Linked DNA regions of Arabidopsis thaliana. The protein of the gene in region 2 interacts with the protein of the main gene of each other region in a pairwise test. Each region holds a gene or a part of one and is shown on either strand. Other genes may lie near its edges.

Region 1 (6,530 bases), on a different chromosome or scaffold from region 2:
ACATTTTATGCTTGAGTTTTATTTATTAGATTGTGTGGCTAACTCCTTTGGTTTAAAAAGTTTAAACAACGAAAATAAATCGCTTTTACGAAATTGAAATGTGGTAGAAATTAGATAAATTGAAATTTGGGGGGACAAAAAATTTAAATAGATTTGTCGGCAAGGAAAAAGAACGATTCACGAAAAAAAAAGGAAAAATAACGATTCACAACTACACTTGGAATTGGAATCGTGTATTCTTTATAAATATAGACCACTAGCTAACAACGAAAAAATTCATTAATCGAATTTCTTCAAAAGCAAGATACTCTGACTTCGAAAGATTAAACCTAAGTGTTCTCTCGGAAAATCCATCATCATGTTTCTGTCTTCGAGAACTATTTTTGTGGGTTTGTGTTTTCTGTTCGTTTTGGCTCCATGCTTTACTAGAGCAACAACCAATGAAGTTCAAGTTAGCTGCGACTCTCACAACTTCAACAATGGCAAACACTTCCGTTCATGTGTTGACCTTCCTGTGTTAGATTCGTTTCTACACTACAGTTACGTTCGAGAAACCGGAGTGCTTGAAGTTGCATATCGTCATACCAACATCGAGTCTTCTAGTTGGATTGCTTGGGGCATAAACCCGACGAGCAAAGGCATGATAGGTGCTCAAACACTTTTGGCTTACCGTAACTCCACGTCCGGTTTTATGCGTGCATATACTTCCTCAATAAATGGCTACACACCTATGCTTCAAGAAGGCCCTCTGAGCTTTCGTGTAACGCAACTATCCGCTGAATATCTCAATAGAGAGATGACTATATTTGCCACTATGGTGTGGCCGTCTAACACAACCGTTGTCAATCATTTATGGCAAGACGGTCCGTTGAAGGAAGGTGATAGGCTTGGGATGCACGCCATGAGTGGAAATCATCTCAAATCCATGGCTAATTTGGATTTGTTGTCCGGACAAGTCATGACCACTAAAGCAGCTAATGATAACATGTTACTAGTCAAAAGCATTCATGGACTAGTGAATGCAGTGTGTTGGGGGATTTTCATACCCATTGGTGTCATGGCTGCAAGGTACATGAGGACCTACAAAGGACTGGACCCCACTTGGTTCTACATACTAATCCTCTAAGGATCTAGAAGTTGATCAGACGGTTTGCATTGATGTCTATGATGTCTAATTTCTTAAGGTTGACTTAGTAGTTATATTGCTAGTTTGCTATTAGCTAAGCCTAGTTCGTGTGGCTGTCAAAAAAAAAAAAAAAAGAAGCCTAGTTCGTGTGTAACGTCCAAAAAAAAAAATCAATTAGAGATTAACGATTTTGAATTAAGTACTAAATACAGATTTATGTTTTTGAGGCATTAATTAGTTTTTCTTTCTCCTTTTCAAGTTATGGGAGACTTTGGGTATGTAAACGATTTGTCCAAAAAAGATTTTCCCTTTATAAGGAAGCTTAAGGAGGATGCATTGAGGATTAGTGTTGAAGCCAAGCAAAACATAAATATCATTGCATTTGAAGAATTCTCACTCAAGCATCATTCTCATTATCATTCTTAAAAATTGAGCAACCAAATTTTGCTCTCTTTTTACATTTTAACTCACAAATACCATATTTGACACTAAAAAGATCTCACTTCTATTGTTAAATAAACATTCATTTTAGTTAAATTGTAATTTATAATATTAACTTGACACTGACTGTTAGTGCATTCTGATGACCACTAAGTAAAGTACCTACGAGTCATCATCATTGACATCTTCACACAGACACTCATATTATATAAAGAATGAATTCACTCACAAATTAGGAAACAATATAGAACAATTAGTTATATATGTTCTTCAGATTTCAATCAGGAAATTAGAACATGCTCTTTTGGGTTTTGCTCAGTAGTTTCTGTGTGTTTTGTTTCTCCAGTCCAGATGGTATGCAGATTCTAGACTTTGTCTCACATTATTTGTACTCATTTTGCCTTCAACTGTTTGATTGAATCTTTGTGATGGAACAGGTTTCTTGAGCTTATCATGTGGCGGCTCAAGTTACACCGCTGCTTATAACATCTCATGGGTTTCAGACAACGATTATATCGAAACAGGTAACACTACCACGGTTACTTACGCCGAGGGGAATTCTACTTCCAGTGTTCCCATCAGATTATTCCCGGATCCTCAAGGTCGCCAATGTTACAAGTTACCTGTGAGGAAAGACTTGTCTTCAGTTCTGATTCGTGCTACATTCGTTTATAGAAACTATGATAGCCAGAATAGTCCTCCAGCATTTCATGTCTCTCTTGGAAGGAGAATCACTAGTACTGTTGATCTTAGAACCAATGATCCTTGGATTGAAGAGTTAGTTTGGCCAGTCAACAATGATTCTCTTTTGCTTTGCTTGCTTGCGGTTAAAGGAAGAGGTATTCCGGTTATCTCTTCTCTAGAAGTACGGCCACTTCCTTTAGGTTCTTACAAATACAGCCTGGAGGGTTCACCAGATATAATTCTCAGGAGAAGTTACCGAATCAATAGCGGATACACAAATGGGACTATCCGGTAAGAATTCTCAGGCTCTAAACTTTGATCGCTGTCTCTTTCTTTGGTGTGTTTTGTTGAATTTTCTTGGTGAATTATGTTGAATGGTAGGTATCCTTCAGATCCATTTGATCGAATATGGGATCCGGATCAAAGTTATTCACCGTTTCACGCCTCTTGGAGCTTCAATGGACTCACAAAATTGAATTCCTTCAATATTACTGAGAATCCACCAGCTTCTGTTCTTAAGACAGCAAGAATTCTTGCTCGCAAAGAAAGTCTTTCATATACTCTTTCTCTACATACACCAGGGGACTACTACATTATCCTCTACTTTGCTGGGATACTCTCACTCTCCCCTTCTTTTAGTGTGACGATCAATGATGAAGTCAAACAATCTGATTACACCGTAACTAGCTCAGAAGCTGGTACCTTGTACTTTACGCAAAAAGGAATCAGTAAGTTAAACATCACCCTCAGAAAAATCAAGTTCAATCCTCAAGTGAGTGCTCTTGAGGTATATGAAATCCTCCAAATCCCTCCTGAAGCTTCTTCTACCACAGGTACTCTCTTTTGAGGTTGTCTGGATAAAGCAAACTACACAAGAGCCGAAGTTCACCTTTCAAGTTTATATTTTTGCAGTTTCGGCACTTAAAGTCATAGAGCAATTTACCGGGCAAGACCTTGGATGGCAAGACGACCCATGCACACCGCTTCCTTGGAACCACATCGAATGTGAAGGAAACCGTGTTACATCATTGTAAAAACAATCCTTATCATATCGATTGCTTTCAACATTTCTTCATCTCAGCTCATATTTTTCCTTCTTCTGGCTGTCCAGGTTCCTTTCAAAAATCAACCTGAGGTCCATTAGTCCAACATTCGGAGACTTGCTCGATCTCAAAACACTGTAAGGCAATCACTCTTCAACAGTTGTAGTGTCTCATGTATACGTATGTGGTTACCTTGAGTGTTCTCTACTTCTCCGTGCAGCGACTTGCATAATACATCACTTACAGGAGCAATACAGAATGTAGGCAGCCTTAAGGATCTCCAGAAACTGTAATACTCATCCATAGAACATTAACATAATTTTTATGTTTCCTGTAGTACTAAAAAGCTTCTGACGGTATATACAGGAATTTGAGCTTCAATCAGTTAGAATCTTTTGGCTCCGAGCTGGAAGATCTGGTTAACCTTGAAGTTCTGTAAGTCAATCTTATACTGAGAGTTTCTGGATATACGTTCGTTCTTTGTGGAAAATTTTAAAGTATTTCTCCATTTCTTGAAGGGACCTGCAAAACAACAGCTTACAAGGATCAGTTCCTGAAACATTAGGAAAGCTGAAGAAACTTCGTCTCCTGTAAGTAAACATTAACATCAAGAAGTAGCTTGTACATACCATATTCACACAGAAGAGAATCTTTATGTTACTTCTTCTCAGGAATCTGGAAAACAATAACTTAGTAGGTCCCTTGCCACAGTCTCTTAACATAACGGGTCTGGAAGTCAGGTATACACGATTTCTGTCTCGGCATTTGCTACACTATTCTGTTCTTGTGCATGTTACTGAATTGCTTCTTTTTTTCAGGATAACGGGAAATCCATGCCTTTCGTTCTCTTCAATATCATGCAACAATGTGTCTTCAACAATTGACACACCACAAGTCACTATCCCTATCAATAAGAAACAAAGAAAACAGAACCGTATAGCGATCTTGCTTGGAGTTTCTGGTGGAGCCTTGTTTGCCACCTTTCTTGTCTTTGTTTTCATGTCGATCTTCACGAGGAGACAGAGAAACAAAGAGAGAGATATAACCAGTATGGGAACAATGCTTTCTCTTTGCCCCCACAAAGTTGTCCCTTTATAATTCTTATAGTATATCAAAATCTGTATCAGGAGCACAACTGAAAATGCAGAACTGGAACGCTTCAAGAATCTTTTCTCACAAAGAGATCAAGTCAGCTACTAGAAATTTCAAGGAAGTGATTGGTCGTGGAAGTTTTGGAGCTGTATACCGTGGAAAACTACCAGATGGAAAACAAGTTGCGGTCAAAGTGCGATTTGATAGAACTCAACTTGGAGCTGATTCTTTCATCAATGAGGTTTAAGCGTCCACATAGTTCTCCCAAAATTACTGTCCATATTTGAATGTCATGCATTCCAAATCCACGGTCAAGTATACATTCATCTTTAGTGATCCCTTTGTACTGTCTGCGTTCTAGGTGCACCTTTTGTCTCAGATCCGCCACCAAAATCTAGTTTCATTTGAGGGCTTCTGCTATGAACCAAAACGTCAAATACTGGTGTATGAGTATCTGTCTGGTGGATCCTTAGCTGATCACCTTTACGGTATGAAAATCCTCAAGTATCTAGCAATTCTCATCATCTTTTTGCAAAATCATCTTCCTCGCAAAGCTATAGCTGTCGGTGATATCTTGCTTCTGCAGGTCCACGTAGCAAAAGGCATTCATTGAACTGGGTTTCAAGACTAAAAGTTGCTGTTGATGCTGCAAAAGGTACATCTTCAACATCTGCGGATCTGCCATTGGTATCATTATAATAAAACTCGTTTGATCCTGGTAGATAGTAAAAGTTTTGGCTTATTCATGAAGGATTGGACTACCTGCATAATGGAAGTGAGCCGAGAATTATACATCGGGATGTAAAGAGCAGTAACATACTTTTAGACAAGGATATGAACGCGAAAGTTTCTGATTTTGGCCTGTCAAAACAATTTACAAAAGCAGATGCATCTCATATTACTACTGTTGTTAAAGGCACCGCAGGCTACCTTGACCCCGAGTAAACTCTTCTACAATATCTCTCCGAATTCGTGATGGATTAACAGCTTCATTAGCTAATCATTACTCACACTTTTTCATTCCAGATATTACTCTACCCTGCAGCTGACAGAGAAAAGTGATGTCTATAGCTTTGGTGTGGTTCTGTTGGAGCTTATCTGTGGAAGAGAACCCTTAAGTCACTCAGGATCACCAGATTCGTTTAACTTGGTCTTATGGGTGAGAGTAACATAGAATATTATCTTAGTTTCTCATCTCTCAAGTATCTGAGTACACAGTGTCTTAAAAGATCAGAATACTTAAATGCAGGCTAGGCCAAACTTACAAGCAGGAGCTTTTGAGATTGTGGATGATATCTTGAAGGAGACATTTGATCCAGCGAGCATGAAAAAAGCTGCTTCGATTGCTATAAGATGTGTGGGAAGAGATGCATCTGGAAGACCGTCTATCGCCGAAGTTTTGACTAAACTGAAAGAAGCGTACAGTCTTCAACTCTCATATCTAGCTGCTTCAGCACATACAGACTGATAACACATCACAAACAAGAGTAAATACATAACTTGTATTATTTTTTTTTGTTTTTCCGTTTGTGTTACATATATTTGTAATCCAACTGAAAATGTATTTACTCTTATACTAACTACATTTTATCATTAGAACAAGGAGATGGATACTAGAAAGATATATACTAGCAAAATTGAGCTCTATTCCTCCACTAAAAATCTGGCTTCTTCACCACAACTTGGGCTTCACCAACAGACTCAACCACACCATGAAGTTCCTTTACATGGGTAGTCATGCCACTAATTCTATAAGCCTTAACCATTGTCCTGTATGTAATCTTATCAGGTTTGAATCCCTTCTTTTCCATTAGTTCAAGAACACCTTTCATCTCTGCAAACTTTTCCATCCTCCCGTACGCATCTACCAGACAGTTAAAGAACACGAGGTCTAACCTTATGTCTGAGTTCTCGATGAAACGCAATACTCCTCCAATTTTATCAGCTTTACTAGCTCTTCCATAAGCACGAACAAGAGAACATAGTGTAACACAACTCGGGAAAATTCTCTCTGATTGCATCAGTCTAAATAAGTATTCCATTTGTTTTAAGTCTCCTGCCCTCCCAAACGCGTCAATGACCACATTATAGGTGACTATGGTCCATGAATAATGATACTTCTGCATGTATTCCATCACAGCACT
Region 2 (3,300 bases):
TCATTACCACCCATCTTCTGGTCTCGGAAGCCATCTCCCCCTTAGACGACCCAAGAGCCAAGTGGTTCGTGTCAAGGTACAAATGTCTTGCCTTTTAGCTGATTCTGTCCGTAAATCGTATACCCTTTTGGAAATTGAGACTCTTGAGCCCATTTCTGATCTCTTGTTATTCGATTTGGTCTTTCGCCTCTAGCTAGAGCCTAAACGTGAATTGTGACCTTAGCTCACTGTTATGTTCTCATTCCACTTCAGATGTTTAGAATTTAGTCTAAAGTTTCAGTTTTTTTGTTAGAGACGGTGATGCTATTGATTGCTTTGATTAGATGGTGATGCTTTCGGCCATAGTTTTATGTTTCTGATGTGGGTTTGTGGTGTAGGTAGATGAAAATGTAGCCGAGACAGAGCCACCGAAATGGTGGGAGAGGAATGCTCCAAACATGGTCGATATTCATTCTACTGAAGAGTTCTTGAGCGCTTTAAGCGGTGCGGGTGAAAGATTAGTTATTGTAGAGTTTTATGGAACTTGGTGTGCTTCTTGCAGAGCATTGTTCCCAAAGGTTAGTGTCATGTGACGTATCTATTCCATGAAACTATAAGAGTTTCATTTCTCTTTCGTGATTCTGTGAGAAATTTAGATGTTTTTTTTGTGTCTGTTTTGAAAATGTTTTCAGCTTTGCAAGACAGCGGTGGAACATCCCGATATAGTGTTCCTTAAAGTAAACTTTGATGAGAATAAACCGATGTGCAAGAGTTTGAACGTGAGAGTGCTTCCTTTTTTCCACTTTTACCGTGGAGCTGATGGTCAGCTTGAGTCATTCTCATGTTCTCTTGCTAAGGTAAAGAAGGCTATTTCGGTTTCACCTTTTCCGCAACTAGAGCTTGGCATAACGCTTCAAACAAAGAGAACTACTTCGTTGTTCTTTTTCGATAGGATCTATCAAATATTATAGACCCTTTGCTGATATTGATACCAAAACCGGTTGAATGCATTTGGTCTGTCTCTGATTACTATTTGACATCCTCTTCTTTTGAATATTTGTGTGTATTCAGTTTCAGAAGATAAAAGATGCAATCCAACTGCACAATACCGATCGTTGCAGCCTCGGTCCAGCCAAGGTACCTGAAGGCTTAACATTAGCCAAACCAGCTGCATCAAGTTGAAGTGCCAGATTTTTAGATATATTACTAAGGCAACAATCTTTGGTTGCTCAAGCAAATACTCAGCTTAAAATTCTGTATATCGTCATATTTTTGGGTGTAAAAGAATACTTCCTAAAGCCAGTTACGATTCTTCTGCTAATAGTCAATTGCAAATGTATTTTCACTACTGCTGTTCTTTATTGCTTTAAAGCAAGCTTATTGATGAAGTCATGTGAGGTTGCATAAGTCTCATTTCCATAGTTTTGGGGTAAATTTATAACTTTCTCAACTTACCGAACGATAGTGAAAAACAAATACATAGCACAATGGTTACAATAATCATGTGTTGTGATTACAATTTACAAATTTACAAGAATCATATCAAATAAGATTTTTTAAAAATTTACAAATGTGAGCTCAAGACTTTTAAGTGTTAAAGATAAGTTAAGGGCTGAAAACTAAAACATGTAGGAATAAGAGGACTGTTTGGTAAACGTTTTAACGTTTAAAGTCTTGCCTTTTGATATCAGATTTTTCTCAGGTTCCCACGCGCCGCCGCGAAACAGCTAGACGGAGAAATCCAAAATTCGGCGAAGGTTTGAGAAGAGAGAAATCTGAGAGATGCAAGGAGTGTGGAGCCAACTATGGAGGAAATATGCTGATTATAAGTACAATAAGTTCGAGAGATTTGCTGTTTGGGAAATGATCGAACCTTACCGTCGACCAAAAACCTTCACAACTTTGATTACTATCTATGTCGCCGCCTTTTACACCGGCGTCATCGGCGCTGCAGTTACAGAGCAGCTCTACAAGGTCAGCTTCGTATTGTTATCGATTCAGGCCCGGAATTGCTATTAGATTTGTGGGTTCTAATTTGATTCTCGTGATTGGTAAATGTTAGGGTTCGAAATGTGATAAAATTGGAAATGATTCATTGTTGATTACTAATAAAGGATTGTGTGATCATGAAAAGAACTATACTTGAATTGCTTTTCATGGGAATGGTTCATTAGGTCTTTCAATGAAGCTTTTACGTCTTGATTAGTATCTAATCTAATTCATTGTTCTGTAGTATATTGTATTCTTTGTCAATGTGTTTCTTACACTGTTTTGTGTTAGTATCAGTTATGTTTCTTGTTTGAGTGTGAACTTTATGTTACTCCACTCTCTGTAAACAGGAGAAGTTTTGGGAAGAGCACCCAGGGAAAACAGTGCCTCTGATGAAGCCAGTATTCTATCGAGGACCATGGAGAGTTTATCGTGGTGAGGCTATTGCTTCAGATGCTAGCAGCCAGTGAAGCTAACGATTAGGCTATCAGAGACTATGGTGAAGGATGTATCTCCGACTTTGATACGCAGATATAAATGGATTTATACTGGTTCACTAGTATATGTATATCAAAAAACTTCTTTTGGTTCAGTAGAATGTTTGTGTCTGTATTTCGAGTCTAATGACTCTCTTAAGAATCTATTTTCTAGAAATTACATGTAATGACAGTCTCGTTATAGTATAAGGATTTGATTTGAGAAGTTTAAGGGTATCCATTCATTCCTTTGAATATCTCTGCTTGTATCTGCCTCTCTTCTGGTGTCCTGAAATAAAACATTCCCAAATAAGATAGATGATCTAACTACCTCAGAAACATTGAGCCAACACAGATTTTTCTCTTCAAATTAGGTTGCTTCACATTCTTTAGTCCATATAGATTCCTCTGGGGACGTACTCTGTTTCTTTCCTTCCTTTTTTTTTTTGTTTGTTGCTTGTGAAAGAATATGACAACCTATGGCACTATACCATCCCAAGAAAATGCTTCGTCGAGCCTGAGCTTATTAGGACGAGCCAAAGAATTGATCTCGTTAGGTCTTAGCTCTCAAAGGCCATGGCTTGAACTTGTCCAATGTAGTGCCTTTAGCCTTCCTATCTCCTTTAGCGTTGCCACTGAACGAATCAAATCCAACATCATGATCTTTCGAACCAACTACATTGTTATCTTCATTGTTAGTATCTTCATCAGCATGCTTTGGCAACCCGTCCACCTTTCCGTCTTTGTTATCTTGATAGTAGCATGGCTATATGTCTACTCCCGTGATAATGAACCATGGGTGATATTTGGCAGTGTGATCGATGATTCTACTTTGGTGCTGGTTTTGTTGGTCCTC

Evidence for each region. The genes of interacting proteins can lie anywhere in the genome.
Region 1: the proteins of EMB2752 (region 2) and AT5G48740 interact in a protein complementation assay, tested with the Arabidopsis thaliana proteins (one large-scale study listed by BioGRID).

Annotation. Positions count from the first base shown.
Region 1 is NC_003076.8:19,764,648-19,771,177, reverse strand, and holds AT5G48740 (Leucine-rich repeat protein kinase family protein), read left to right. Parts: upstream 1-1,808; 5' UTR 1,809-1,863; coding exon 1,864-1,921; intron 1,922-2,004; coding exon 2,005-2,542; intron 2,543-2,632; coding exon 2,633-3,084; intron 3,085-3,163; coding exon 3,164-3,281; intron 3,282-3,362; coding exon 3,363-3,431; intron 3,432-3,514; coding exon 3,515-3,583; intron 3,584-3,660; coding exon 3,661-3,729; intron 3,730-3,812; coding exon 3,813-3,884; intron 3,885-3,965; coding exon 3,966-4,034; intron 4,035-4,112; coding exon 4,113-4,342; intron 4,343-4,421; coding exon 4,422-4,627; intron 4,628-4,747; coding exon 4,748-4,874; intron 4,875-4,972; coding exon 4,973-5,041; intron 5,042-5,137; coding exon 5,138-5,327; intron 5,328-5,412; coding exon 5,413-5,545; intron 5,546-5,635; coding exon 5,636-5,854; 3' UTR 5,855-5,983; downstream 5,984-6,530. Other genes in the region: AT5G48750 (Cytochrome b561/ferric reductase transmembrane with DOMON related domain-containing protein), read left to right, coding at 359-1,126; AT5G48730 (Pentatricopeptide repeat (PPR) superfamily protein), read right to left, coding at 6,042-6,530.
Region 2 is NC_003075.7:14,533,633-14,536,932, reverse strand, and holds EMB2752 (embryo defective 2752), read left to right. Parts: upstream 1-1,576; 5' UTR 1,577-1,761; coding exon 1,762-1,953; intron 1,954-2,318; coding exon 2,319-2,438; 3' UTR 2,439-2,752; downstream 2,753-3,300. Other genes in the region: ACHT2 (atypical CYS HIS rich thioredoxin 2), read left to right, coding at 1-76, 378-557, 672-950; PRA1.C (prenylated RAB acceptor 1.C), read left to right, coding at 2,914-3,300.